Linked DNA regions of Coturnix japonica. The protein of the gene in region 2 interacts with the protein of the main gene of each other region in a pairwise test. Links are inferred from orthologs where the notes say so. Each region holds a gene or a part of one and is shown on either strand. Other genes may lie near its edges.

The links.
Region 1: the proteins of GRAMD2B (region 2) and TMEM43 interact in binary tests that used the Homo sapiens proteins (3 or more experiments, as listed by UniProt). The two-hybrid records come from large-scale screens. The link is inferred for Coturnix japonica from reciprocal best matches to the Homo sapiens genes GRAMD2B and TMEM43.

What each region holds. Positions count from the first base shown.
Region 1 is NC_029527.1:8,346,756-8,358,411, reverse strand, and holds TMEM43 (transmembrane protein 43), read right to left. Parts: upstream 9,859-11,656; 5' UTR 9,763-9,858; coding exon 9,751-9,762; intron 9,075-9,750; coding exon 8,925-9,074; intron 8,293-8,924; coding exon 8,158-8,292; intron 8,036-8,157; coding exon 7,941-8,035; intron 7,808-7,940; coding exon 7,758-7,807; intron 6,294-7,757; coding exon 6,224-6,293; intron 5,527-6,223; coding exon 5,456-5,526; intron 5,296-5,455; coding exon 5,174-5,295; intron 4,573-5,173; coding exon 4,498-4,572; intron 4,419-4,497; coding exon 4,317-4,418; intron 2,862-4,316; coding exon 2,744-2,861; intron 2,358-2,743; coding exon 2,155-2,357; 3' UTR 2,122-2,154; intron 1,818-2,121; 3' UTR 935-1,817; downstream 1-934. Other genes in the region: CHCHD4 (mitochondrial intermembrane space import and assembly protein 40), read left to right, coding at 9,995-10,016. UniProt on the Homo sapiens protein: May have an important role in maintaining nuclear envelope structure by organizing protein complexes at the inner nuclear membrane. Required for retaining emerin at the inner nuclear membrane.
Region 2 is NC_029547.1:65,140,700-65,156,592, reverse strand, and holds the end of GRAMD2B (GRAM domain-containing protein 2B), read left to right. Parts: intron 1-865; coding exon 866-988; intron 989-2,035; coding exon 2,036-2,123; intron 2,124-2,412; coding exon 2,413-2,479; intron 2,480-3,167; coding exon 3,168-3,271; intron 3,272-6,789; coding exon 6,790-6,885; intron 6,886-7,748; coding exon 7,749-7,820; intron 7,821-7,941; coding exon 7,942-8,022; intron 8,023-8,682; coding exon 8,683-8,794; intron 8,795-9,840; coding exon 9,841-9,963; intron 9,964-10,148; coding exon 10,149-10,239; intron 10,240-10,638; coding exon 10,639-10,740; intron 10,741-12,054; coding exon 12,055-12,148; intron 12,149-13,509; coding exon 13,510-13,551; 3' UTR 13,552-14,739; downstream 14,740-15,893.

The DNA.
Region 1 (11,656 bases), on a different chromosome or scaffold from region 2:
GGTAGGCGTGATTGTATAGAAGACTTCAAGGTCAAAAACAAAACCTCTCACATAAAGTGGTAAAACTGCAGTGGACTGGAGAGGGCAGAATTCCTTCTGTGTCAGTGGCTGCACAGGGTACGTTACAAGATGAGTACTTTGAATGCAAGGATCTAAGTCCAGCTGGCATCAGTAATGTTTCATCTGCTTCAAAAGGGAGCTGGAAGCAGCTGTATCACAGTGAGTCAGCACTTCCCAACTTCAGTCAGCACTTACTGGACTTAAATGCATGAAGTTATGAGTTCAGCCAGCTCTCTCAAACTAAGCACGCAAAAGATGAGAGTAAATACAATTTAAGGGAGAGCAAAGCAGAGAGGAACAAAGCAGAAAGCAGATACACATTCTGACAGAGCATGCTAAGCAGGCAAGAAAAATACTGCTTCAGTTGGTTTGATAGAAATTTGTATACATGCAATGAAACAGAGCTTTGGCTCCACCTGGATACCTACCCTCAGAAACATTAAGTTCTTCAGTTTTGCACCATTCTTGTGTGCAGATGAGCATGTAAGATGAAAGTGTTCTAAACTGCTGAATGCAAAAGAAGCCTCTAAAAAGCAAAAAAAAAAACCACCTGAATCCAGTCAAGATGAATGACCATATTTCTCAGATGATCCTATGGAGGGAAGGAAGCTACTATTTCTTAAGTAGTAAGAGCAAAGAGGAGTAAAAACACCACTGGTAGGCTGGAATCAGCCTTATCATTAAGCACATGGACAAGATAACAGCTGTGAGGTTACAGGTGATACAAAACCCAACTGCACATTTGCCTCCACCAACAGTGGAAAACTTGTTCATCCAAAGTTACAAAACTAATCCTCCACACGCTTGGATGTCGTTCCTGGATGTGAAATAAGCAGTGCTTAAAGGTAATGAAAAAGAAGCCTACAGACCAACCTTCTGAAAATTGTATTTTATTAAATATACAAAAAGCACTTCCATAGAAAAATTGCACCTTCATCTCCCATGTGCTAATGCTGGTTAGTTTCCTGCATCATGAAGATACATAGAAACAAATTTCCTTTGGTATGGGGAATACAGGCATAATTCAGCTTCAAAATGCATTCACTGAAGACATTATTTTTGTACCAAATTATGTTTACTTACAGAAGGAAAAACACATTGGTAGAGCACATCTGGAAGCCAAACTAGCTACCTAGAGAGACAAGGTTGCCTCTAAACTCAAGAACTATTTACAGAAACAAAACCTGTAAGCTTGAGCCATTGCAGCACTACAGGAAGCTGTTATAACACGATATAAAGCTCAAAATTCAAGCTACTACATCTATGAAATCTAATCAGGCAAAAATGTGTTCATTATTTAATTTCATAGAGGTCTTATTTTTAAAATTAAAGGCGAGTGACCTCTGAGTATCTCCTCAAATAAGGGCAATTCAGTGTTTTTAATAGAGCTGTAGCATTTTGGGTGCTTAACCAAGAACATCTTCACAGACCCTTTTAAAAGTTGAGGAAAGTCACTGCTTTTCTGACATATCTTCCTTGCCTCAAACCACTACTAACCTGGCCACTTGAGATTCCAAGCTACTTTCAAAACCCCCAGCTCAAAAGCATAAATGTTACTGAAGTATTGTGTCAAAAGTCGCTTCTCCTTTAATTCACTTTCAAGTAGTTTAGCCAAAGTAGTACACATGATTGTATGAGTGAGAAAAAGTAGCAGGAGGGATTGTCAGAGGCAGGTACACACACGCATTTCCTACGGATTCCACATCAGTCCATGTGATGAAGCTGGTACTTTGTCCATAATATATAAGGTGCCCCACCTGCCAATGAGAATTTGCCAGTTTTCAGATCAGGGTGAATTAGTAAGAGGTGAAAGACAGATGGTACTTTTACACTGACTTATAATGAATACAGATGCTCCCAAATGTTTTTGTTTTCTTTTTTCCTGAACTCGGTGTCACTGAATTCCTACAAGCAGCATTCTATTGTAATCTTTATCACAGACAATACGTTTATCAACAGCCACACTCAAGACCCCTCCCCAAATCTTGGCTCACGCTGCTGAAGCACAATGTACTGTAAGCAATGTAACCAAAACAGAAATGCACATAAAAAGCTTCTAAACGGGATTTAGTGCAGAACCTGAGTACCTCTTTCTCACTGATGCTTCTTTGGTGGAATACGGGATTTTGCGACCACAATTGGAACTACAGAGAGCAATCCGATCAGCAAAGCCCAGAGAGGGCGGTAGAAGAGCCAGCCAACGGAGATGGTCAGAAGTGACAGTGAGCTGGCCATGCAGAAGGCAAAAGCTTTCAATCCGATGTTAACCAGATCTCGAACAACAGGAAACCAGTCCACTGTGGAAAGAATTAAACAAGGGATAAAAGAGTTGATCATCATTTATTTACAAGGACTCCTTATTATGCCTGGGATTCACACAAACTATGGCGATCAAGAGGCAGACTCAAGTTATTATAAGGGCAATGGAAAAGGCATTTCAGGAGAGCATCCTCAAGGCATTTGATAAATAAGTCACATCTGAACATCTAAGACAACAGCATCCTCATCTCTTTAGATAAGAAGTCATGCAAAATTAAGTCTGAAGTCTTATCCAAGGCTTATGAGGCATCACAGACTCCTTCTGGCCTTCAAATAAATTCATTTCACATGTAAGCAACATAGAATCATAAACCGTACAGCATCCTATTTCTAAATTCATTTTAGCTTTCTGTCACCAACCTACCCAAAGTGTAAACAATCCGGGTCATTAGGCTGATGCCTACAAACATTGCCAGCCAGCCTGCTGCACGGAGGGCCCAGGTCTTCATGGTGTTACTTTCATGCTCCTTCTGAAACACCTCCTGAAAGCAAGAAACAGGCTGCATGTAATGATACTTAAGTTCTCTTGAGATCCAGCTCTTTCCAGTACAATATAGGAGCAAGTCAGAGTCAACAGTAGAAGATACATTGCAGCTCATTCCTCAGGGCCTTTCTTTTACATCAATAGCCAAGCACATTACACAAGATTTCAAAGTGCAGCAAAAAGGAAAGCTGCATTTATTTAAATAAAGACAGCAAAACACGCACCCTCAGGCACTCTCTGTAACCCCAATCAGAAAGCACAGAGTTTCAGTGCTCTTTATTGTGGAAAATAAGACTGCAGTAAGTACACATAACATGAAGGAAACACCTGATTTTGTTATGTTTGCAGCAAGACAGAACAGGCAATAAGATCCACTGATGGCTGAAGGAAAGGTGCATGAAAGAAAACAAGCAGTGTGTAGGAAAGCAAAGATAAAAAGGTATGTGTACATTTTTTAAAGCACTAAAAGCACCTATTTGCAAAAATGCCCCTTTTCCTCTATAAAAAAATTCACATACAGATGGCTAAGAAATAAGAAAACACAGGAAAGATAGAAAAATGTCTGATTGACAACTTGTATGGCTGAGGACTCTATAATTTATTCACTCTTAGCTCATTTCCAATTAACTAAAATTCTAATTAATGAAGATTAAGAGCTCACAGCAGAGAGCTGCTTCTACTGCTGCTCCCTTTCAACTTGGGGAAAAAAAAAGAAAAAAAGCCTTTTTGTCTGCTGTTGGCAGATACTGTAAATTCCTGACATCTGGAACTTCTACAGCAGGGCACAAAGGAATCATTAATGGAAATCAACCTACTAAGAGGAGTCAATGAATCACTAAATTGCCTGAGCATGCAGGATTTATTGGAGCATTATGCACTGCCTGAAGGCTCTTTCTCAGTCAGAGTAGCAGTAAACATTTCAAACAAGCCTAAACTCTCTGTTAAGAGAGGCTGAAGAATGGATAGCTCCTATGATTTGTCTAATTAAAGCCTGATTTTTACTGTTTTTGTGTATAACCTTTTCAAAAGCGTATGTTTGTGTATAAGTGGGAGGCTACCAAAAATCAAATCAAGCCAAAATGAGAAGGCACAGGAACAGTTCTTAGAGCAAATGATAGTCACCAGCAGCCACACAAGCTGACTTATTTTTTAATACAGTTACTTTAGCTGTAGCTACCTCTAAAAAGGGAAAGAAGAACAGAAGTAACTATAGCCAAATTATATACTGCTAACAGGTGAAGTACAGCTTTTTGCAGCAACACAAAAACATGAAGAAACTGGGAAGGAAAAAACAGGCTATAATGCTTTGACCTAGATATAGCACAGAGAAAAGCCAAAGTTTACATCTCCTCCTCTGCAACAGGCTTGAAGGAGAATTAAAGCTTATTCCATGTCTGCTTCTGCACTACGATCTGCAGTTTCAACCCTTTACTGGCATGGTGTGATCTCTTACCTCTACAGAGAGATCCCCAGAGTAGAGAATCTGAAGAACATCTCCAGACTTGGTGTGATATGGAACGAGTTGATCGCCTTTCTGCCGAGCAATCACAGTTACCTTGGAAGAAAGGCAAAGAATGTTAGTGGTTACTGAGTTGGGGACAGAGCTCGGATAACACAAATAGCTGAAGATCTACCTTATCAGGTGAGCCCAAGTGGGGGTCATGTCCACTCAGACCAGCATAGAAGAATGAGACACGAAGGTCTCCCACCTACAAATAAGAAGAATATTGGAAATCAGAGAAAGATTTCTTTACAAAGGAGAATCACAGGAAAGAAAACTCTTCATAGGAACACTTCTTGTATCATCACTTGTCTTGAACATTCGTGGCAAGACAGAGGATACCATGTAAGATAGCCAGGCTGCATTTTTTCTGGGCCTAGTTGATAGCCAAAACAAGACAGCTAAGATGTTTCTTTGCAATATTCTTTCTGATTTAGCTGCAGGAACATATTAACATCAAATAGATCCTACACTCATCCTTGCAATTTTATTTTTTGGCAAAGAAAGGCAGCACTAACTAGCAACAAACTTTGTACTCAGTAAGGCAGAAGTAGAAACCACCTCCCACATCATCCAATGTTGTTCCATCTAAAATCAAGGCAAACAAAAAAAAAAGAAATAAAAACAGAAAATGAAGGTGCAAGCAGGATCAGAAGCTTCCAGCAAGGAGTCACTCTTATTAATGGTCCTGTCCTATGTGATGCTCTGCACTCCAATTTTTACATGTTTAAAAAGAAATGGGACATACCCCAGCTTTCTTTTTTCACACAACAGTAATTGCTGCTTTGGTTTTATCTTTCTCATCTTACTTCTGGACGCCTGGGGTTCTCGCTGTGGTAAAAATAATCTCCTCCCCGGGTAACATCAGCATGTGGATCCTCAAGGTGTGCCAAGCTCAGCTGCTTGAAGTCATCAATCTTATCCACAAGGCCTAAGCAGAACAAAGAACCAAGCTCAGGTTTGGTGTTGAACAGACATTTTGCAGGCTGGCTTCCTGATTATCACTTGTAACAATCACCATTGCAGAAATAAGTGAAGTTTGCAGCTCTACTGGAATAAACAATGCAAAGTCAGTACAGAGTAATTCTTACCTTTGGAAAGGACAAAGCTGCCAACCTGGACATTAGGAGAAACAGCAGTAAAGGACTCCACAGCCATGGCACTGGGGAACAGACAGAGCTCCTGATTAGTTCCACAATTATGATCAAACTACTGCTTTACAGTATTTAATATAAAGCACAGTTCTAAGCTTCATTCAAGTCATGTTTGGGGTTGTTGGTTTGTGGGGTTTTTTTGCCAAATGGTTTCCTGCATCCTTAGGAACCAAACATGTGCTGTAAGAACGACAAGCAAGCTAAAACTTAGCACTAAAAGTGGTACACTGTAGCATAATTAAAATGCTGTAGGTGAGAGAAATACAGAACGGATTATATGTGGGCAATTGCTATAAATAAGCCTGAGCTCATACACGCTGCCTTAGAAGAACAGCATGCAAGTGGTATGGCAAGCTTGTGGGATGCTTGCTATTCTCATTCTATTTTTAACAGAAGAACTAGCAACAGACTAATAAAAGTAAAAAAGAAACCCATTCAGTTCTCCCATACACAATCCACATGGTCCAACTGTAAAATAGCAGCCTGATGTAGAGCCATTACTAATAAGCAGTATTCCATCAGGAATGTTGGATTCTGGCTCCATTAGGCAGCTTTGAACCGCTGTTTCATTTAATTTCTCTCAACTACAAAGAGACAAAGAGTTTCTATCCACTTTGCTACACCATGAAGATTTGTCATTGAGTTCTCATCATCAATCAGATTCACTGACAGAACCCAGAGGGACTGTGCTAGGTGGTAAATTACCTGGGATTTTTGTGTCCTATTTCTCGATCAAAATTCCTGCTGTTCACAACTTCGGATTTCCATTCAGTATCTAAGGAAAATGATATGAACATTGAGAAGAGAGCAACAACTGCCACTCAGATCTTAGTTACCGATGACACCTCTAAATCAATGAATCAGTTCAAATTACACTCATTTTTTATTTTTTTTTTAAATCAAGGTACACAATGGGATAGTCTATAATGATACTTAAATCTGACCTCCTAATATATTAACAATGAGTGGAGGGACTAAGAAAAAAAAGACCTTAGGGATAAAACTGTAACTCAGCATTGCATGGTAGAAGGTTTGCTGTTAGCATCTTCCCTGATCAGGCTTTAATTCCTGGCTCCTCTCTTTGGGAGCAAGCAAGGAAAAGCTTAGAGTTCTGCCAGAGCTAGCAGATTTCAGTGTAGTCAAGTAAGACAGAAAAGATACCTGTACATGCCACTGTCACATAGCACTGCCTCGATTCAGGCCACAGCATCCTCTCCACACCCCCAGAGCACATTCCTTATAGGTACAAGTAGCTTTTTTGCAACTCATACAAAACTAGAGTCCCTTTTTTTGAGCAGTCTCTGTACTAAATACATGCTCTATGCCTCCAGGGAGGAGAAGAGAGAAAGGAAGAGAGTTTGGCTAAACACTGGAGTGGGGATCACTGTAAAGGATATTCTAGTGTACCAGGTTTACGTGTCAAGATTTTTGTAGCTTTGGGGAGGGCTGCAGGGGTGGAAGAAGCATGAGAAGCAAGAGTAGCGGGGAGACTGTAAACCCACACCCACACTGCTTCCTGCCTCACTTAAGACATCAAGTGCAACCTGAAGCAGTAACAAGGGCAGTGATGTCCAGATTGACTCTGAGCCTGGAAAATAGCGGAAGTAACTGTGTTTTGCTACTAACCAAATCACTAATTAAGTATTTAATTTTGTTGACAATAGGTACATGGTAATATACAGACTTCAACTGGACACCATTTCTGAGAGCATAGCTTTTTTTTGGATCTTTTCTTTAACAGCTGTTCCTCATATCTCACGCCCACCACTAGCTTTGCTCCTTTGCTGTCTCTGTGCTGCACAGTCTCATGCTTCACTGAACTGGAGTATTCTTATTATCACACCCAGAAATCACTGCACACCTACATTACATGGGCTTTAGTTGTGAATAAATGAAGCACAGAGAATAAGCTCCAGAGATACAATGACTCAGAGTATTTTTCCACCATCAGGTAGATTAGAACTATCCTCCCAGTTCTCCTCCTGCCAAAAAAGCATTTGCCAAACGCCACAACACATATCAGAAGGTGCTGGAGGTTTTCATTAGTTCATGTGAACACTAAAACTCTCAACATGCTGCCATCTGGCTTAGCAAAATAACTTTTACTTATTTATTTATATAGTTTTCTTTCCCAAGGAAAAAAAAATAGATGTTTTTTTCAAGAAAATCAAGATAGATATATAGGAAAGCCCAAAGTTTCACACATAAAAACAAAAGGATTTTCTGCAGATCAACTTACTATACGAGTACTTTGTCTCTTTCTTGATCTCACCATTTTCTTCATACTCCCTGCAAAGAAAAAGAGTGAAGCAAGAAGCAAAATAGCACACACACAAACCAGCTCAATACAGAATGCACGTTTCAACTGACCCTGTTAATAAAACACTCCTATAAACAACTTTTAAAGACCTGTTTCACTCACCTGGAATCTTCATATTCAACCCACTGGTACATTTCCACTTTGCGCTTAAGCTTGACAGCCTGGACGGACAGCCCATAGCTGGGATCAAACAAAGGCTATTTGAAATACAAAGAAAACACAAGTCAGTAGGAATTAGTGAGGCATCTGTGAGCATTTCAACACTCCAATCCCTCCAAACTTGAAATTCTCCCATATCCAAGATGTTAGCTTTACTTACCTTTGCTGTGCTCAGAACGCCTGCTAAGTGCACCAGACTCCCCTCATTTTGTTGAGATACCCTGTGAATGTTGTCAAGAGGGATCACAAGAGAAAGTCCCTCATCAAGAGATTTAGCTGTCCTCAAAGCTCGTCCCTGTAGTCACGAAAAGCAAAATCAAGCTGTGGAGAATCAATGGCATATCATTATCTTATGAAAATAGTAGAAGACAAGTGATCTGCAGAGCCCAAGGACTTCTCAAGACATTCATCCTCAAGGCATAATCTGAAAACACACTTGTAATTCACCATTCTCCTCCAAGTCTAAAACCAAAACAAAGTAACGAGAGTAATTAACACCCTCACTTTTGCAACACTGAATGAGTTCCTATAACAAAATCCTAACAGCACTAGAAATGAATTCCCTATGTTATCTCAAGATAGAGACAGAAGAACTGAACGTGGCTGGCTCGTTCGGCTTCTTTCTATAGCACTACAGCCTCTTTCACCGGGAGCTCATAGGTTTGGGATCTTTTTCCTCACCATACACAGACACTGTTTCTATTACACACCGTTCCACAGCAAGAACATCTATGACTCTGTGATTTCATTCTTACATCCCAAGAATAAGCATCAGCCTCACCCGACACGCTGCCTTCTTTACACTGATGAAGCAATAAAACTACAGCATGACCATTTCCTTGACCCTATACATACAAAACTAGTTGAATGCCACCTTGGCCAACCATTTTAAAGCTGTATATAAACTCTTGATAGTACTTCACTTACTTCATTGGTAAAAAGAAGGTAGAAGGACAGAAGAAATGTCCCAAGTCCTATAAGCATGCCTCCAGAAGTCTCGCTGAGCCTCTCCAGGAACCCTGGCTTGGCCTCGCTGGTGATTTTGACATGTTCTTTTTTGCTTCCTGTGTCAGAAAACTGTTGGAGGTAAACCAGAAATGTAATATTGGTATAAAAGCAGATGGTCTGTTTCAAAAGGAGCTCTTTACCTTTGCTAAATTGCTTAACCACTGCTAAACGGCACTGCTTGCATTGGAGCTGAACCTTCCCACACTTATTAAATCACAGAATCACAGAATGACCCGGGTTGGAAGGGACCTCAAGGATCATGTAGTTCCAACCCCCTAAATGCCTTGTCCCAATTTTGATACCAGAAATACAGCCAGTAAATAGACCTTAACTAAGAAAAACAATGCCTATAGCATTGGCAAAGCACATCCCTTCACACATCCTTCAGCCTGTCTCTACGTTCCCTATTTGGTATCCACACCCAGCGACAAACTGAGTAATACTCCCAAATTCCAGACTAGCTACAGCACAGCTATAAATACCACAATGCAATCCCACAGCACACCCTGCCATAACTGCACCTTGGGGGACTAGAAGAGCTCTCAGAACAAACTTCTGCTGCTATGCTGAGCATTGCCACATTAGAACACCAACAACACAGGGTGTGAGGAGCACCACAGCTCTGTGCTGTGGGTAATACCCAAGCAGCAATAGCGGGTAGAGAGGGGAGGAGGCGAGGCCCCTCTGGAGGAGCCAAGCGGGATCTGACAGCTATTGGGATCCCCCACAGGAGCTTATCACTTACATTCCTCGACATCTTCGGCCTCTTTCCCTCACAAACCAGAGAATCCACCAACGACAACCGCTCAGCAGCAGCCGCGCCCACCTCGATGTGAGGGCGTATGCTTCCTGGTGTTAGAGTTCAGTGTGTGTTCTTCCGGAGGTCAGCGGGCACAGCGTGGAGCTGCGGCGGTGTTGGAGGAGGAGGGGAAGGACGCGGAGCCGGTCTGCGATCGCACTGAGTGTGAAAGGCAGCGGGCGGCTCCGCCATGTCCTACTGCAGGCAAGAAGGTGGGTGCCTGCGTCCTCACAATGTCACCCTGAGGCGCGGGGGCGGCGCCGCTCGAAGGGTGGAGGGGAGGCCGCGGGTTGTGTGGGTGTGGGGCACCACACGTTTCATTTCTAACCTGGGGGATGCATTTATCTTTCCCCCTTTGTGGATTGTGATTTATCTTTCCTCCCTTGGTGTGGAGTTTCATGCTGCAAAGAATGTCCTGAGTGCTGCTTTGAAAGGATAAACTCGTCACTCTGGATAGTGATTATATACTGTGATAACTTCTGGTTCTCTTTGCCTTATTATTATTAACTCACTTTATTGATATCTTGTATTTTTACCAGCTCTGTCCATTGCCTTATGGCATCCTACAAAATGAATGATAGCTGCAGTTATAGTTCATGTTATAGTTGTGGTGATGGGGTTATAGTTATACTTCATGCTAGCAGTGATGATATTTCATCCACTTCTAGTTCATTTCATGTATGAAATCCCAGCTGTTCTGCACTGTAAAGTTGGCTGGAATGCCACACGGCTGACAATAGTTTCCCTTTTTGAAAGAATCCAGGTTTATCTGCTTTTCACACCTAGTGTTCAAGACCAGGTTGGATGGGACCCTGGGCAACCTCATCTAGTAAAGGTGTATGTTTGGTGGCCCTGCCAGGCAGGGGGGTTGGAACTACATGATCCTTGAGGTCCCTTCCAACCTGGGTCATTCTGTGATTCTGTGAGACTGAATGCAAAGAAAGGGAATTACTGAACGTTTTCTGGTAGAGGTCATGCTGAAGGACAAGAAGATGCTAATTCATAACGTGCTTTGTCATTGCAGTGGCCTTTCTGAATTTGGAGCTGAAGTCTTTGGGGTGCTCATTCCAGTCTGTGAATGCTGTGTTATACATTCAGAAAAGCTTCAGTTAGATGTTCTCTTCTGCCTGTATCTGCCTTAAAGCAGTTTTCTACAACCTTACAGAGTTGTTGGGAAACTTTGCCCTGGTTGCCAGCCAAGCCTGTTTTTTTTTTCCCCCTTCATAACTACTTTGTTAAATCAAGAGTGACACAAGAGCAGGAAGTACGCTCTGTTTTTCTGCCCTTGTTAATGTTTGCAGCACCTTTCAACACAGGCTGCTCTAGACCGTTAAAGTGCTCTTTAGTATTTAATTCACATAATAATTATAGACTATGACATGACTCTGTAATGGAGGCTGCTGATCTTAATTAATATCCTGCTGAATGCTTTCTGTAGCACAGGAGAGTTTTTCCTTTCACTTTTGGTCCATTTCCATCCAGCCTCTTTAGCTGAATTTGTTCTCCCAAGAGAGCAGTAGTTTCAGATGGTTTCAAAACAGCTCTTTAACTTTGCAATCCAGTGAACTGTACAGTGATTTACAGCTGTTACAGTACTTTGCTGTGAAAAGCAGAACTCTAGAGCGAAAGGATTTGGTAGTTTCTATATATTCTAACATGTAAATGGGTAATGAGTATTACTTATGTAATGAGTGCTTTAAAAGAGGACTTCCCAAACTGTTTTATGTTCACCTCATCCTCACTTCCTTCCTGTATAACATAATAATTAGTTTCTTCTACAAGGTGCTGTGACTTTAATAATTAGTTTCTTTTACCCACGTGGGATTTGTGGCTTCATATTCAGTGGCAGTGT
Region 2 (15,893 bases):
TCTGTTTTCTTAGTATGCATTCCTGGAACAGTGCTATGTGCTATGAAAGGACAGTGCACTGTGAGAGTTCAGATTTTGTCAGAAAAAAATAGCCCACACATTGAGTGGGCCCTTCATTTGTTAATTTTGTGCAGATCAAGTCTCGTGGAAGAGATAAGTGAGGCAAAATACAATCCAGCGTCCTCTTTGAATGCTGAAGCACAAAATGCTCTGTTAAGAGTTAGGTGTTGTCATGCAGGATGTTTATCTCCCAACCTGCCAATTAAAGTAATTTCCATTAGTCATCAGATCCAAGTTCTAAAAATGAAGTGCATTTTTCCTAAATGAGGCTTTGCTTTTGAAAAGGAAACCAGAGCTGCAAATGTCATGAGCACTGTAATATCCATGGCAAGATTTCAGTCTGCCTCTCCTCGTGACTGAAATTCCAGTGCTGTTAACTGTTGAAATTGTATAATCATAAAACCATAGAATGGCTTCAGTTGGAAGGGACCATAAAACCACCTGTTGCCAACCCAGTTGTCTTGAGCGGTGTTGTCATACAATAGAGCACCCCTCCAACCTGGCTTTGAATGCTTCCAGGGATGGGGTGTCCACAACTTCTCTGGGCAGCCTATTCCAGGGCCTAACCACCCTCTGAGTAAAACTTTTCTTCCTATAAACACTTCAACATCTTTCTAATGAATATAAAGTCCTGGCATAACACCGCCAAGTCGATAGATACAGACTTTTCAGGACCTCAGTGTTTAAGATGTCATAACTTTTTTTTTTTCCATTTTGTTCAATAGTGACAATATGTTAAGTGGCATTTGGCGTTGTTATGGATCCTGCAGTACACATTGCTTTCTTTCTTTTTTCCCCCCTGCAGTTCTGACGGAGAAAATGGAACAAGTGAAAGAAGAAAGCCAGGAAAATCACCTGCTGGTTTGCTGCAGACCGCTAACAATGAAGTGGAGCATTTTGATGATGGGAAGAAAGTTGATTTTGCAAGGTAATGGTCAGGAACATTGATAGGTTTCTGCTAATGAAAAAAAATTCAGAATGGTTAACAATCCACTCAAGAAATTGAGAAATCATTGAGAAATGAGATTTATTGGATGACTCAGTTGTGGGTTAACTTGCACCCTAAGCAAGTAAGAGGAGAGCAGAGCCTACATCCAGAGCCTGCACTGTCAGGTTCAATTTGTTATAGAAACTGAAGTAGTAATTAAAAAAGAAAACAAAACACGTGAAGGACAAATTATGCATTCCTTTCACTTTCAACTGGGCAGACAGTGCAAAAGTCAACCTGGCAATGTGGTTTTGGTCACAGGGCAGGTAATTGCAAAGCAGCACTTAATTTTTTTGAGACGTCTTTGAAGAAATACGTAATAACTTGTTATGTAAAACTTACATTTTGACACTTCAGAATTTCATTTCCTAGTCATAGAATTTATTTTCCTAGTCATCCTCAGGGATTTTCCTCTGTACTCTTTCTAATTCAGAATTGTTTGGTTTTTCTTATGCATTTGGTTGTTTGGTTTTTTTTTGTTGTTGTTGTTCTTTTCTTTCAGCTTAAATTGCTAAGGGTGTAACAGGTACAACAACTTCCTTTAAAACAGGCACTTATCGTTCTTTTTCATTTATTGAAAACTTCACTTCCAGAATTGCTGTCTGCCTCATTGATTTCCATGCACTACAGTGTTTGCAGCCACAAGTAAAGTGCGTAGTGTTTCTTACATTGCCTGGAAACAAACAAACATGGAGCTAGGCACTATGATAATCCCTTAAACCGATAAAAATGCTTAGAACTTTATTTCCCTTACAACTAGTGGTTTAAAGTATTCCTCATAAGTTAAAAATAGGCCATTATGGAGGACTGGCCTAATTCAAGACTGAGACAGACTCCTATGCATTGCTATTTAGTATTTGAAAAATCAGATAGTTATTATTGAAAGATTAATGTGTTTCACAGAAAAATATGTCCTGTTGATAACAGAGGTTAAGCATCTTACGTGGCATGTTTTGTTTTGTTGTGCTGTTTTTTTATTATTTTCAGGACAAAGAGCAGTACAGAAGGTCCACTTCTGACAGTGGAAAGCAAGAATGATTCCAAGATTGAAAGGAAAAAACATATCTCAAATCAGGTATGGAGAAGATGGACTTTTTTTTGTTGATGAGTGATAAGAGCAAATACAGAACTGGAAGAACACCCTTGTTTACTAGTATTCTAATTCCTGGTTGGATAAGGATGTAGGTTCCTTTATTCATCTTAGATCAAGACAACAACTTAACAGGCATATAACAAAAATGACAATTTACTGTAAGACAAATGGGTAAAAGGAGAAGAAAACGGGAGTGCAGGAAGTGGTATGAGTATTGTAAGAATATCTAACAAGGCATGTGTCTTTGGCGGTGGGCCTTTTTGTTTTTTAGCTGAAGGCAAATGCACACTTTCATAAGCTGTTTCTGGATGTTTCCATTGATGAACCACTAAAACAAAGTAAGTATAAAGACTCTTGTTGTTGCTGACTGTGGGTCAAAATACTGTTAACATCTGCCAACTCTGGCAGCATATATAAAGCAGTACCCAAATTTTATAAAGCTTTAACTCCAGCTGCCTGGAGCTGCAAGGCCTTTGTTTGCATGCAGGGGTGTTTCTGCTACAGTCTTGTAAAACTTACATTTCTTTATTCTTCATGCATTTAGCATCTTTTGGTATTATAGCTCACTTTGTATTTCTTAACAAAGCAACCTAGTTCAGTGTTTCTGTAGCTTGTCTAAAACTTCGCAGGAATCTAGGTGGTACTCTGTCCAAAGAGTTTTGGCTTCTGGGACTCTGCTGCATATTACACTTTTCAGTCTTTATTCTTCATATATTTTGATTTAAAGTAAAGCTTGTGAAATCTTCTCTGTACTTGTAAAACTTTTTCAGGATATCAAGGTGTAGAGTCACAGGATCATGTGAGTTGGGAGGGACCATTAAAGGTCACCTAGTTCAAATGCCCTGCAATGATCAGGGATGATTTGACAGTGTTTATCAAATGGTATCTATCCAAACAGGTAATGGGAAAAAAAAAAAAAAAAAAAAAAGAAAAAAGAAAAGAAAAGAAAAGAAAAAAAAACCCAAAAAGCAAAAGAAATGTGAATGTGTGTTGTGTGTAAAATTACAGAATATCACTTTATCCCAGGTTTTACCTGTGCTCTCCAGAAAGAAATTCTTTACCAAGGAAAGCTCTTCCTTTCTGAAAACTGGATTTGCTTCCATTCCAAGGTTTTTGGTAAAGACACTAAGGTTAGTGCAATCATTTCTACTTAATAGTAGTGCCGTTCCTTAGAAATCTAGTCATCACTTGAAATTTGCTTTATTATGCAAGGCTAGAAAACTTCTAATACCTTCAAGTGTTACTGAATAGAATGACTATGTCCAAAAGTCTCTCTAGAACAGAAGTGCTATTTCTGTTAAAGGCCCAGTCTTTGCTTTAATGATTTCCTGTCTGAAGAAAAAAAAATATTTAAGAACTTGACATGGAATTACAAAGGCTGCCAAACCCACACAGCAGTAACTGTACAAAAGTGGCTCTCTTGGGTTACCTTTGGAAAAGAGGGGAAGGTGGCAGGATGAAAAGTATAAGGACTAGTTGGGGAAAGGGTGGGAAGGATCGAGCACACTCATTAACAGTCAGTTAAATAAAAAACCTCCAACTTTCTTCAGAGTGGAGCTGCATGCCTGAGGGGATTCTTCTATCTCTTCCTTCTGTTCTACATGAACAGAGAAACTCTGCTAGGTTTACACTTGTGAACCTAGTGTAAAGAACAGAAATGGGACATGAACAGCTGGGGCGGTCCTAATTACTCTTTTCTTAGTACAGACATGACCTGCATAAGGTTGTATCCCCTGCTGATGAATAATTTGCATGTAGATAAAATTACACTGGGCCCAAAAATATGCATGATCTATTTTTGTTGATTTGGAAGTTTTGGGGTCTTTGTCAAAATAAACTCTTCTCTGTCTTTGACCTGTTACTGTGAAAAAGCATGATATGTGGTAAGGATTTGTTTGGCTTCTTTCTGTAGTATTTCATTGAGTTAATTGCTTGTTAGATTAAGACCCCTTCTCAGTGAATCAGATGCTGAAACCGCTTTAGAGAGTTCACATTATCTTATTTCTTTGCTGACAGCTGTTGTGATGGAGCACAATGTATCTTCGACAGGGACCTTAAGAATGTAGAGTATGTTTAAAAAAAAAATGATTAATATTATTAGCCACACATTACTAAGACTGGCTCTGTAACTTGCTACATATTAGGCCAAGGAACTGGACTATTGTTTCCTAGATGATGGATTATATTAATAAAGTATTGGTAGTATGTTAATACATATGGTGTTGGTGTGCATGTCAGTGAAAGCCAAATAAATAAAAATTAATGAAGGATTGGATACCATCATTTAAGTTCATAGCATCTGTCCCATCAGGTAGTCTCAATAAAATTGAAGTTACTGTCTGTGTCCTGTGCAGCACAAATGAATGTGCATGGGCCTACTCCAAACTGTGGGACAGCTTTCAAATATTTAATGCTTGATTCAGTCACATATAGCAGACATAGATTTTTAGACATATCATCAATGAAACAACAGAGAAACTGGGCATATAATGAAGACTCATGTAATAGTGGAGGAGAAAATCAGGCCTGACACAGGCTTTGAAACAATTCAAATTTAGTCATAACCCAACTGCTGAGAGAAGTAGCAGGTCTACATATTCTATTAAGTTTATCATGCCAAGTTCTTCTACACACAGATTTTTTTCTATTGAGGCCTTTGGTGGGTGAAATAGTCATGGAAGGAGATTTGAATATGCAATGTAAACACTCTGTGTGTTCAGAAATAAAAGAATCCTTCTGCAGGACTTAGCAGGCTTTGAAAGACTTTGCAGTCCTTCCAGGTTGTTCTATTTTGGTTATATGTGTTGACCTGCAGTCTTTTCTTCATCATCCTAGTTGCTTTTCAAGATGCCTGCATATGAACTTGTTTCCTGAAATAATTATTACTCCAGATAGATAGAAATAGAACACTTGCAGTGATTTTCCCATTTTAATCTAATGCTTAGGTAAGAGTGCAGCAAGCAAGTACTTAATCCCACTTAAGTATTCTTTAGTCTTGATTACAGTAATGTTATCCATCAAAATTGCATGCAGCAGAATGCCATTAACATCTCTTACTTGAAGTTCTTTGAGGTGGGCTGAACCAATTAGAAAACCTCTAAGCCACATTTGCAATTTGCAGGATTTCTGCTGAAAAATCTTTGGGAGTGGTAGGTTTCATTTATTTTGGTGCTGTCATTTATTTTGGTGGTGGCAATGGTTGTTACGGTTGTTGTTGGTTTCTCTCAGCAATGCAAATTGTATTCTGACTACATGACAGTTCTGCTTTGTTTTGTTTGGTTTTGTCTTCCTGTCAAACAAGCATCATATCTCCTCCCTTCTTTCCACTCAAGAAGCAGCCTTTTTTGAACAGAAGTGTTATAAAATCTTTCTGGATCAAGAAAACATTCAGTTCAGGAAAAGTACAGTAGAGGATCTACTTAATTAACCTATTTTCAAAAGACTTGACCTCTAAAGCTGAGCAAACAGAATAAATAATCAATAGAAAATAGAATAATCAGCAGAAAAAAATGAGTCCAGATTTGCAGATTCTTAGACACAGGCTTAGGCCTATGAATAATATAATGTTACAGGTGTTGGCTTTTGTTGTGGTTGGCTTTTTTCTCTTTTTTCTGGCCTGCGGATGACAGAGGAATGGCTCGCCATGCTTAAACAGTGGCTGATTATCTTGCATCCAGATGAAACACATTTCAGATGAAGCCAAAAAACATATATATATATATATTTTCATTTAATGGCTTGGTATTGCTTTGCATTTATTATTCTGAACAAACATTAATAAAGTTTTATGAACTTGCACAGGGAGTCTTTACTCTCCTGCATTAATGTGTTTTTAGTTCCGTGCTCTGATCACTCAGCACTCAATCTATGGTCACTTTTAGTTCTGAATTTCTCAGGCTATCGAGACAAAGGTATCCGCAGCAGAAGCTGTAGCCTATCCATGTGTATCTTGTATAATTTTATTTGCCTAACTTTGTAAGCTTTTCAACTGCAAGTCAAACCAGCCATTCAGTCCTTTGTAATACAAGATTTACAGAAAGATCCCATGCAGAATATTATAACTGAAATACTCTGAATATGGCATAGCACCGCACATATTACCAATGGAGTTGGATAAAAGCACAAAGCAGGATGGAAATTTGGGAACTTTTCAATGTAAATGTAGGTAGTTTAGATGGCAGACACAGGAATCAGTATAAGTGAGTCAGAAAGCATGTGGGTATTGGATCTTTCAGTGATACTGGTCGACAAGCTGTTTTACTCGGCTGTTCCATGCAAATGAAAGGATCTATAGGTGGCGAAAAGAGCTATATGTTTATTCTTCAGTACGCTGTTGTCTGATTTTTGTTCCTAAGCAAAATGCCTAGCTTGAAGAATACTTTCTTCTGCAGATCTACAGTGAACAAAGCTTCTGGTCTTTTAAGTACATCTGATGAAAACAGAACTAAAAATAATTAAGAAATAGTATTAATCTGAAAAAGTACCTGTTCAATATGAATTGTTAGCAAGCAGGGACATAGAGGAGAAATCCTCACGTGGAGAGCACTGAAAGTATGGCTTATTACAGTTGGTAGGCTGGCTGATTATGAAACAGCATGCAGATTTGTATGCATGTACTGGGACTAATACTGCAATGGTCTTGTTGTAGATCAGCATACCTGTGCTCTCAGTGACACTTCTGAAGAAAACCAAGACTGCCCTTCTTGTGCCAAATGCTCTGATCATAGCAACAGTCACAGACAGAGTAAGTACACAGAGCACAATGCTGTTGTACCCTGCCTGCTTTCTTTTTCATTTTTCAACATCTTTTGTCCTCTCTACTTACTGGCACTCATATCATGAGAGATTCTTGAAGGTGGTTATTTAAGTAGGTAGAGGAATTGGTCACATGTAGTCGTTTAGATTTGGGATCCCAGTGGGTCTGGTTTCTTACCAGATAATTTGAGCTACTTCTGCCTCCTCAGGTGTCAAACAAGGGCTATGTAGAACTTGATGAGAAAATAAGAAATGGAACCTCTTGTTACTAGGTGTTGCCTGTAAACTATCATTCCTCATTCTTCAAGACTTCTGTGTAGTGGCACTTATGGATCAGAAACAAATGGGTCTGGAAGTGCATGCAGGGAGGGTTATCTGCCTTGCTGGCAGCTCTTTACAATGTTCTGACCTTTTCTTGGGTCTCTTATCAGCAATACCGTAGATGCAGCAAAATGCAGTTTCGCCCTACAGTCTCAGTAGTAATTGCATCAATCATTAGAAAATGTGATTATGCCAAGAGCAGCTTTAGAAGAAACCCCTTTTCTCTGCAGAAATGTTTTTTGGATTTGGGCAACTAATTTATTATTTTACCATGGAGAGTTTTTAAGACAAACAAACCAACAAATAAACATAATAGATCTGGACCATGTTGTAATTTTATGTGCCTGTTCTGTGTTCCCTGTGATTAACCTCAGGTCTCAGCCTCAGAAGGAGGGGAGGTTTTCCTTGCTACATGAAGGTTCTGGAAAGTAGGAGGTTTTGCTGATCAGATCACTGTCAGTTTTAGTGAGGTGAAAGGAAGCTTGTACTGTGTGTCTTTTCTCAGATGATTTTGGAACTTTTGTTTTTCAGTATATGTTCGTCTCCTTACTCTCCAGAGATACAACCTACAAGCTACTAAAATCTATATGTAGACATCTTGAGGTAAGTACGAATGGGAATGAAGAAATGCAGCTTTATGTTCATCGTTACTGTTTTCCCACTTCTAAGTGCTGGGCAATTGCTAGGAGTGTTTCTTGTTAAAGGTACTGCATTATTTTTTCAGGATACAAGTATGGGCAACAGTCCCAATCCATCTTCTGTTGAAAACAGCTTCAGGTCTGATCGTCCTACAACTCTGTCCCTGGTAAACAGCTTCAATATTTGCTCTTTTGTTGCGCTGCTCTGTGCATTGCCAATCCTACCTATAATGTCTGAAGGAAGGAGACCAAAGAAAATCATGATATCTGTTAGGAAAAATTCCATGAACTTCTTAACATTAAGAAGCAGTGAGTATGGTTAGCATAGGTATAGTTTGATCTAAGTAGATATATACAATGTATGTCTTATATACATTACAAGGTATGTATGCCCTACATATTTCTTTTGCTGTGAGATTTCACAGTTCTCTGTACTTAGCAGTTGGTTGCTTCCTCTGACATTAACTATTTTCAGTGTTTCTTGTTACAATCCTTGCACTGTGAGCCAATTCAAGCAGCCGAAAGAGCTGTTTCTCCACATGTGATGACCAGATTCTAACTCTAGAAATGACTTTTCAGGACTGTTTGTTTAGCAGTCTTCCTTTTACAGGCATAGTTAATGTCTTCACTTAAACTAAGGCAGGGAATGAGTCTTAAATTCAGGTGGTTGCAAGTGGTTTGCTTATTTTGCTAACCCAGTCTCAACATCTTGATATCAAAGGTTATTTCTGGTCCCAGTTTTAAACATGTAATTATTAGTTCAGTTTCTACAGGGAATTCAGAGGAAATAAGGTTAATTAGACTTGCTGTGACTGTTTCCCCATCAGGATTTCAACGAAGACTATTCTGATCTGGATGGAATAGTACAGGAGCAGAGACAAGAGATGGAGGAGTCCAGCAGCACAGGCTCACAGACCCCGGAGCTAGAACGCTTCCAAGGTGAGTGGGGTCGTGGAGCTCCAAGAGGATGCGAACAGATTAGCTCTCAGTTTTGCTTCTGTAATTCCTTCTGCTGTAGAGGTAGATCTGTGTTCTCCACAATCCTGCAGGCTGGTTACGTTTGGTCTTCCTCCAAGTTGCCAAAGCTGAATTTCCCTTGTTATATTGCTTTGCAGTCCAGAATTAAACAATGCCTTTTCAGCATCAGGCTTGATTTATCTCTACTGACTCCAACTGCATTCACCATCTATTTCATGTACTTATCAATTGTGCTGTCAAAGATATAGCTGAGCAAATGTTCATGTTTCCTTCCTCTTCTTCTTTCCCCTTCCCTGATCCTTCTCCTTCCCCCTTCTTTTTCATTTTTAATTATAAATAAATAAATAAATAAATAAACTATTGTAAAATAGCTCAAGTTATAAAGAAATGTCTTCTAATCGGCGCAAGTAAATGTTTGTACTGTGCTGGATTTTAGTAATCAAGACTATTTCTTAACATGACTTTGTGTTTCTGGTTTATAAACCTTAATTCTATTCTTTCTGGTCATCTGTTCATTCTTAACTCTACTATTTGTAGTATCATACTCTTCAAGTTTTTCACCTTGTTAGCAGGAACACTGTGTGGAAACACAGTGCACATAAGTTGATAAATATGGCGAGACTCATTTTATGAAGGGTATCTATGTAGGTTATTTAAAGTATTCTAGGGTGTTAGTCTGCTATGCAGTTACTATATATTAACGTATTCATATGTTGCTGTTCTGTTATTTTTCTGGTTCTGTCTGAACACTGACCTTGAACAATGAGAAACCTTTACTTTGAAATGAAAGATTACAGATACAAAATATATATAACAATTTTCAGTAAGCCTAGTTTTAGTTAACTCTTCATTTCTCATATGTCTCTTTTGTTTAGTGGTATGGTTTGGGGTTGTTTAATTTGATATTTACTGTGTGTGTATGTTTTTAATTGTTAGACTAACTCAAGCTACAAATGTTTTCCTTTGACCCCATATTTCAGCTTTATTAAAAATCTTTCTTTTGACAGATTATCATGTTGTTGAGACACAGACTCACTTGAAAGTTTCAAAGACTGAAACAAAGTCTGTCCGCTCTGATGCACGCAGTAAATGGGTGCCTGAAGGGAAAGCCAGAAACTGCATTCGAAATGGTAGGAAATTAAGGGCAGATCCTCAGCTGAAGTTAGTTGGGACAAATTCATGTAGTTATGTCAGTTGACATAATATGGAAGATTTCTTTCTTGTCTGTCTCTCAGTTTATATTATCTGTTGCATGCTTCAAAATGCCATTGTGTCTGGTGTTTCCTGATCAAAATAACACGTGTTCTTTCCCTAGCAGGTCATTCTGAACCTTTCGGATTCTTCCACAAAGTTAAGTTCCAGAAGCTCTTATCTCTGAACCACATACTTATATTTTATGCAGTTCTGTAAGTAACCAATTGATATCAAGATTCTTGAGATTCTCAGACTTTTTAAATGTAGATTAATATTATCTCAGCTTTGCTTGAAAAAGTGGAAATTGATTAGAATTTTGGCCTTTATATCTTTTCAGAACTAGAAATGCCAGGACAGACCTATTTAACAGGCCTTTTACTTCTAAAAGCAAAGGGTTTTTTGGTTCAGGAGTTGTTGAAGAGTTTAACTGCTTGCACTTAGCAGAGCCACACTCAAGGTTCAGACTTTCAGAACTATCTGAATGCCACCAGTACCTGTGCAGCATGATGATTTAAATGTCTTTTAGTGTTGCATTTGTGAGGTATGTCTGATATTCCCACATCCATATAAACATAGCTGATATATCTTTTTTTTTTTTCTTCCTCTTACAGTGTCTGTGTTTTAATATTTTCTACCTTCTACATGAGATATAAAATCAATGTCCTGGAAGAACGTCTTATCTCCATTGCATCTTTTGATTCACATGTTAAGGAGTAAGATGGACTCTATAACCCTTTCAATTAAGAAAAAAAGAAATTACTTCTCCAGTATCTCATAATAATCCAGTCTTTTCAGAAACTTCTATGTTACTGCTGTGCCCTCATGAAACTTAATGTAGTTCTTTTTGTCTGCACAAGCCTCATCTCACAGGTTTCCTTTCAAGACTTTTAATGCAAGCATGTTGCATGGTGTAATATTGCTTTCCGGATATTTCAGATAACTCTGATAATAGCAGTAATGTAAACTGCTGAAATGAGCTTCTTTCCAGATAATGATTCTGTGAGAAAGCTATGACTTTGGTCTTAGTGTCACTTCATTAACCTACAATGACAGGTGGTATTTTGCAATCTGCTTCTGACTTACTTTTAGGGTGTTTTATGGAGCTTTGAGCTTCTTTGAGCGGGTCATATGGGTGTCCTCAGAGAACTTAGGACAGAAGGGAGTTCAGCTGGATGCTGAAAGTACAAAGAGTTTATTTAGTATTAAATTTGGATTAACTCTTCTCTCGCTCTTATGACTTGATTTCTCTGAGCTCCCCTGGAAAACATGACATAATCATTTTGAAACCTCTCTGCAAATTCTGCTGTGACACAGCACAGTTAGTGATGCACTGCCTGAAAAAGGGGACAGCTGTACCCAGGTGGAATGGAGCTCTCTGCAGAGTGTTTCAGACTTGGTCGTATTGTTGTCCTGAACAATGACTGTGCTGCATAGGCTCCACAGGACACAGCTGGAAGCAGCATGAGTTGCATGCGTGACTAAGCCAGGCTCTTAAGAGGAAAGAAAAGGAAATGGTGATTTATCTTAAACAGGCTTGCAGCTGTATTTTACCAATACAATGGGGAGAAGGGTAAACTTACTTAATAGTAGGCAATATTAAAAGCCATTTTCCCCACTTTTTACTTATTTCAATTAACAGGATCATCTGAAGCACTCTTGCACAGAAAGATCCTGTTTTCTGTTGTTCTGATCCTAAAGCAGGGATACAGGATGACCTGATGTGCACTTGTATTGTGTCAAAGGGCTGCGCTTTTTGGTTTTCTCTAAGTCACAAGACACAGAACTTATGCAGCTCTTCAGCTTATTTCAAACTGGAAAACTTGACAGCTATTTCCTCTAAGCTTCTGGGGAGTGAAACAACGTAAGGAATGTAGCCAGAAGTACAGAAGTGACTCAGGGCTTTGTTTCTGTAAACAAGTACAGTTCACAGTGTTACCATTCAAACTGTTCGTATCTGAATGTGTCTTTCAGCTCTGCTTTCCATTTTCTCATTTCCACCTCACGAAATTCTTCATTCTGTTTGACAGACATCCAGTGCACCAACGTTTGGAGTCTCACCTGCAAATTAATGCTGATGCCTTCTGTGACGAGTTAACTGCTAATCTTATGAAATTGGAAAAGGTAACTTTGTAGGATGTGATGCAAAATCTGGTAACACTCATTGGGTTCTGCCTGAATGTCTTGCATGTTTTACTGGAGGGTGCACTTTTTGGGGGGCTGTAAGCTAGCTAGTGTATTCATATTCTCCACCTGGAAACACAGCAAAAGGCAGCCGGATTCTGGAGCATTCAGCTGTTCGCAGATAAGTGACTCTTGGTCCTGAATTAGAGTCTTAAGTCATGCACTTATTTCATTTAGTGTCTACAGAACTGAACCCTTGTCACTGCAAAACAGTCCAGACTGCCAACTGCTTCTCAGTCAAGTTAAATGAGTACTGCATGTAGCTGATGCAGCCGGTAGTTGGAACATTGTTTGGCTCTACTGCAAAACTGGCTGAAATCTACTAAATCATATGCTCAAGTTACTGCAGTTGTTGAACTGCTTTGTGCTCGGTGAGAAGTGCTGGTGATTGACTTCAGCTGGCTTCAATAGCAAAACTAATGCAAAAGTTTCAGTGCAAATAGTCATCTCTTCCCCCCTTCTTGTGGGGCTGCAGCATTATAAACTACTTCACAGAAACTACCTAGGTTAAAAATGAAAAATCACACTTCCAGTTTGTAAATGTTCAGTGCTAAAGTATGCTAAAGCTGTCTTGGAAGGTAATTTTCCACTGTGGCTAAAGCTTCTGTGGCTGCTAACCTGCTAGTTACTAAGATACTGTGATCACACGTGCCTGGGGATGTGTCCCGCTGCATTCCTCTCTCTCTACTGTTAAGAAGATGGAGAACAGATAAAGCAGCTGTTTAAAGCAGGGCTGTGCCAATCATGCTGAAGATGTGACTGCTTTAAATTGCCTTCAGTGTATCTGAGGGAATATAATCAATAGTGCATGGGCATAGGGGCTTGTGACTGGAAGACCTTATTCTGCTGCATACATAAGCCTCTGCAGCTGAAGCTGATCTAAAACTATTCAAATGACTGAAACTTAGAAGCTGTGACTTCTATGTCCAAAGCCTCGTACTGTGTTTTGATTGAGTTCAAAATTTTGAATGTATTGAAAATTTCTTTCTAGCTCTAGTTTTGTTCTCCTATCTCCTATCTGATGAAGAAGAGAACCCATGGGAGGTTGCAGGAGATACCTGTAAGCGATATCAGCTTGGTTTCAGTTGCTCAGCTAAGCATTCTGCTGACTGATCATATCTAGATGCTTCCTTTGACTCCTGTCATTTAATATGAATACTCTCAATACAAAAAGCACTGGTAAAAATAGCTGTGACAGAACTAACAAGCACACAGAGAATATACTGAAGAATGTCTTGATTTTCTTAAGAATGTAGGATAACGCTTTCTGTTTCCCAATCATTTTTGTCTCTTTTTCTAAGATACAGAATAACTTACAAAAACTGCTTGAAGATGGTGAATGAAATGTTTGTGCTCTTGGACTGCTTCAGACTTCATTCATCCCGCTTGACAAACAGATCCAAAGGAGCTCTGCTGGACAGAGTTCAAGCTTCTTTATTTTCAGTCCAAGCCAAGGTTAAACTGCTGATGCTCATGTCACAACACAGAAAGTCATTTTATTGTTCAACAGCTACATTTGTGTGCATGTTTTCAAAATAAGGGGTTTTTTTTTGTTTTGTTTTGTTTCCCTTCTTTGTTCTGTGTGAAGTAATTAATGGATTTTACAGTTTGTTTGATTTTCCTTGCACCAGTGCAAACCTGATGCAACTCCTTTTACCTCAGCCTTTCTTTTCTGCCTCTTTTCATGTACTTGTAAATAAGAAATTCAGGCACAATTCGTATGCTGGCGTGTTGTGTGAATGACCTGGTGTGTCTCACAACCGTGGCTATGGATCAGGGCTGTGCTTTTTTCATTCTATCCTATCATCCCAAAGATTAAAACCAAACACCTCTGGGTTTGATTCTGTGGAGTGCTGAATGTTTGATGTCTGCTCGGGCTCTCAGGTGCTGCAAAAAGGCTCAATTCCATGCTCTGTGGCACTGTATCTCTGCTGAGCATAAAGTCCATTTCTACTGGGGATTCATCGTACATCAAAGTCAAGCTTGAAATATGTGTGAACTTGCCAACTCAGCATTAAGTTGCTTGTGAATAACATTATGGGCATGACATGTCTGTCCGGAAAACCAGCTGTTTTTCCTGCCAGCTCATTAAGTCTCTGTCCTTTAAGTTAATTTATCAGTGTGGAGATCTCAGCTAGCTTTCCTTAGACCTGCATGGAGTCTTGGTTGGCTAAGAAAGTATATTTCATATTCCGGTTTATATAAGTCTAGTCCTGATATGGAACAGATATTTCCACATAATAGAAATTACTGAAATTATTTTTATTGCCATGTTGTTAAACTGAAAGAAAAGGTGGACGTCTGCTTTGTTATATCACAGTATTTTTTCACCTTACCTAATGGGATAACTCTTTTGGATTTTTTTTTAGCTTTCTGATTCACAGAGCAGGGTGGTTCATCTGAAAAAGCAATATTTAGGTTAACGACCACTTGTATATGCAATATAACTGTTTATATATGCTCTGCATTTTATAACCATTTCTGTGAAATGTACCTTACTTTGTTTAAATAAACTTTTTTGAAACAAGCAACTCAGTGCTGTGACTTAGGAGGAAGTTTTTCACACAAGGTGGTGACGCACTGGAACAGGTTGCCCAAGGAGGCTGTGGATGCCCCATCCCTGCAGGCATTCAAGGCCAGGCTGGATGTGGCTCTGGGCAGCCTGGGCTGGTGGTTGGTGACCCTGCACATAGCAGGGGGTTGGAACTGGATGAGCACTGTAGTCCTTTTCAACCCAGGCCATTCCATGATTCTGTGATTTGTATCATGCTACTTCCATCCATCAGTTTTAGTCTAACATGATCCTCATGATCTGAGTAGATTTACTCTTCACAGTGCAAAGTATGTGTAGAACTCTGGTTATAAATCTGTAAGATCTCTTCTGTCTGTTTCAACATAGAGGCTGTGGTTCTATTTATGGTGCACTGAAAATTGAGGTCACAAGTCACTTCTGTCAAAGGAGTGCTTAGGTAATTTAATTACACCCATCAGCTGGTCTGAATTAGCTTATTGCTCGTGCTTTGCTCTATAAAAAAATGAGAGAGTATTACATAAAGCAGACAGGCTAAGCCTGTAGGCAGGCTTATCACCAGCCGTAAGCAAACAGAATGATTGTAGAGGTGAAAGAGTAATCCAAGGTAGGGGCTGCCCTTCAGCCTGTATGGCTGCATGCCAGGGGAGGTGAGTCTGGACAAAGGTGTGCAAGCAGTGTCTCATAGGGGGAAGAAGCAAACTGCAGTCCAGTGGAAGAAGCAGCAGTTAGAGCTTTTGAGTCTGGTCATCTCAGCTCACCAGGTCTTTGTATGTGGCAGCCTTTCCTTAGTTCTTCAGTTTGTAACCTCACTCCTTATTTTCCTACATGTGAAGTTTGCTCTGCAAGGAAAGCCAATGTTAGAGGCCCTTCACAGCAGAACACAAAGGGCAGCAGCTTGATTAGCGTTTGCAAAGAATACAAATGGTTTCATGTGTGTGTGATTGATTTCAGTACCGTCACTGCTTTCAGCTGACTGTGCATGCAGTTACGAAGTGATGCTCCCAGTTTCCTTTTACACCTGCACTTTCGCTTCCAGACTTACAAGCTAACAGTCAGCTGATCAACACTAAATAAACCTCTGGGCTGGTGCTTTCCAGGCCTTTGAAGGTGGTGTCTCAGCTGGTTCACCTGCAGCTGCCTGTGGGCTGCTAT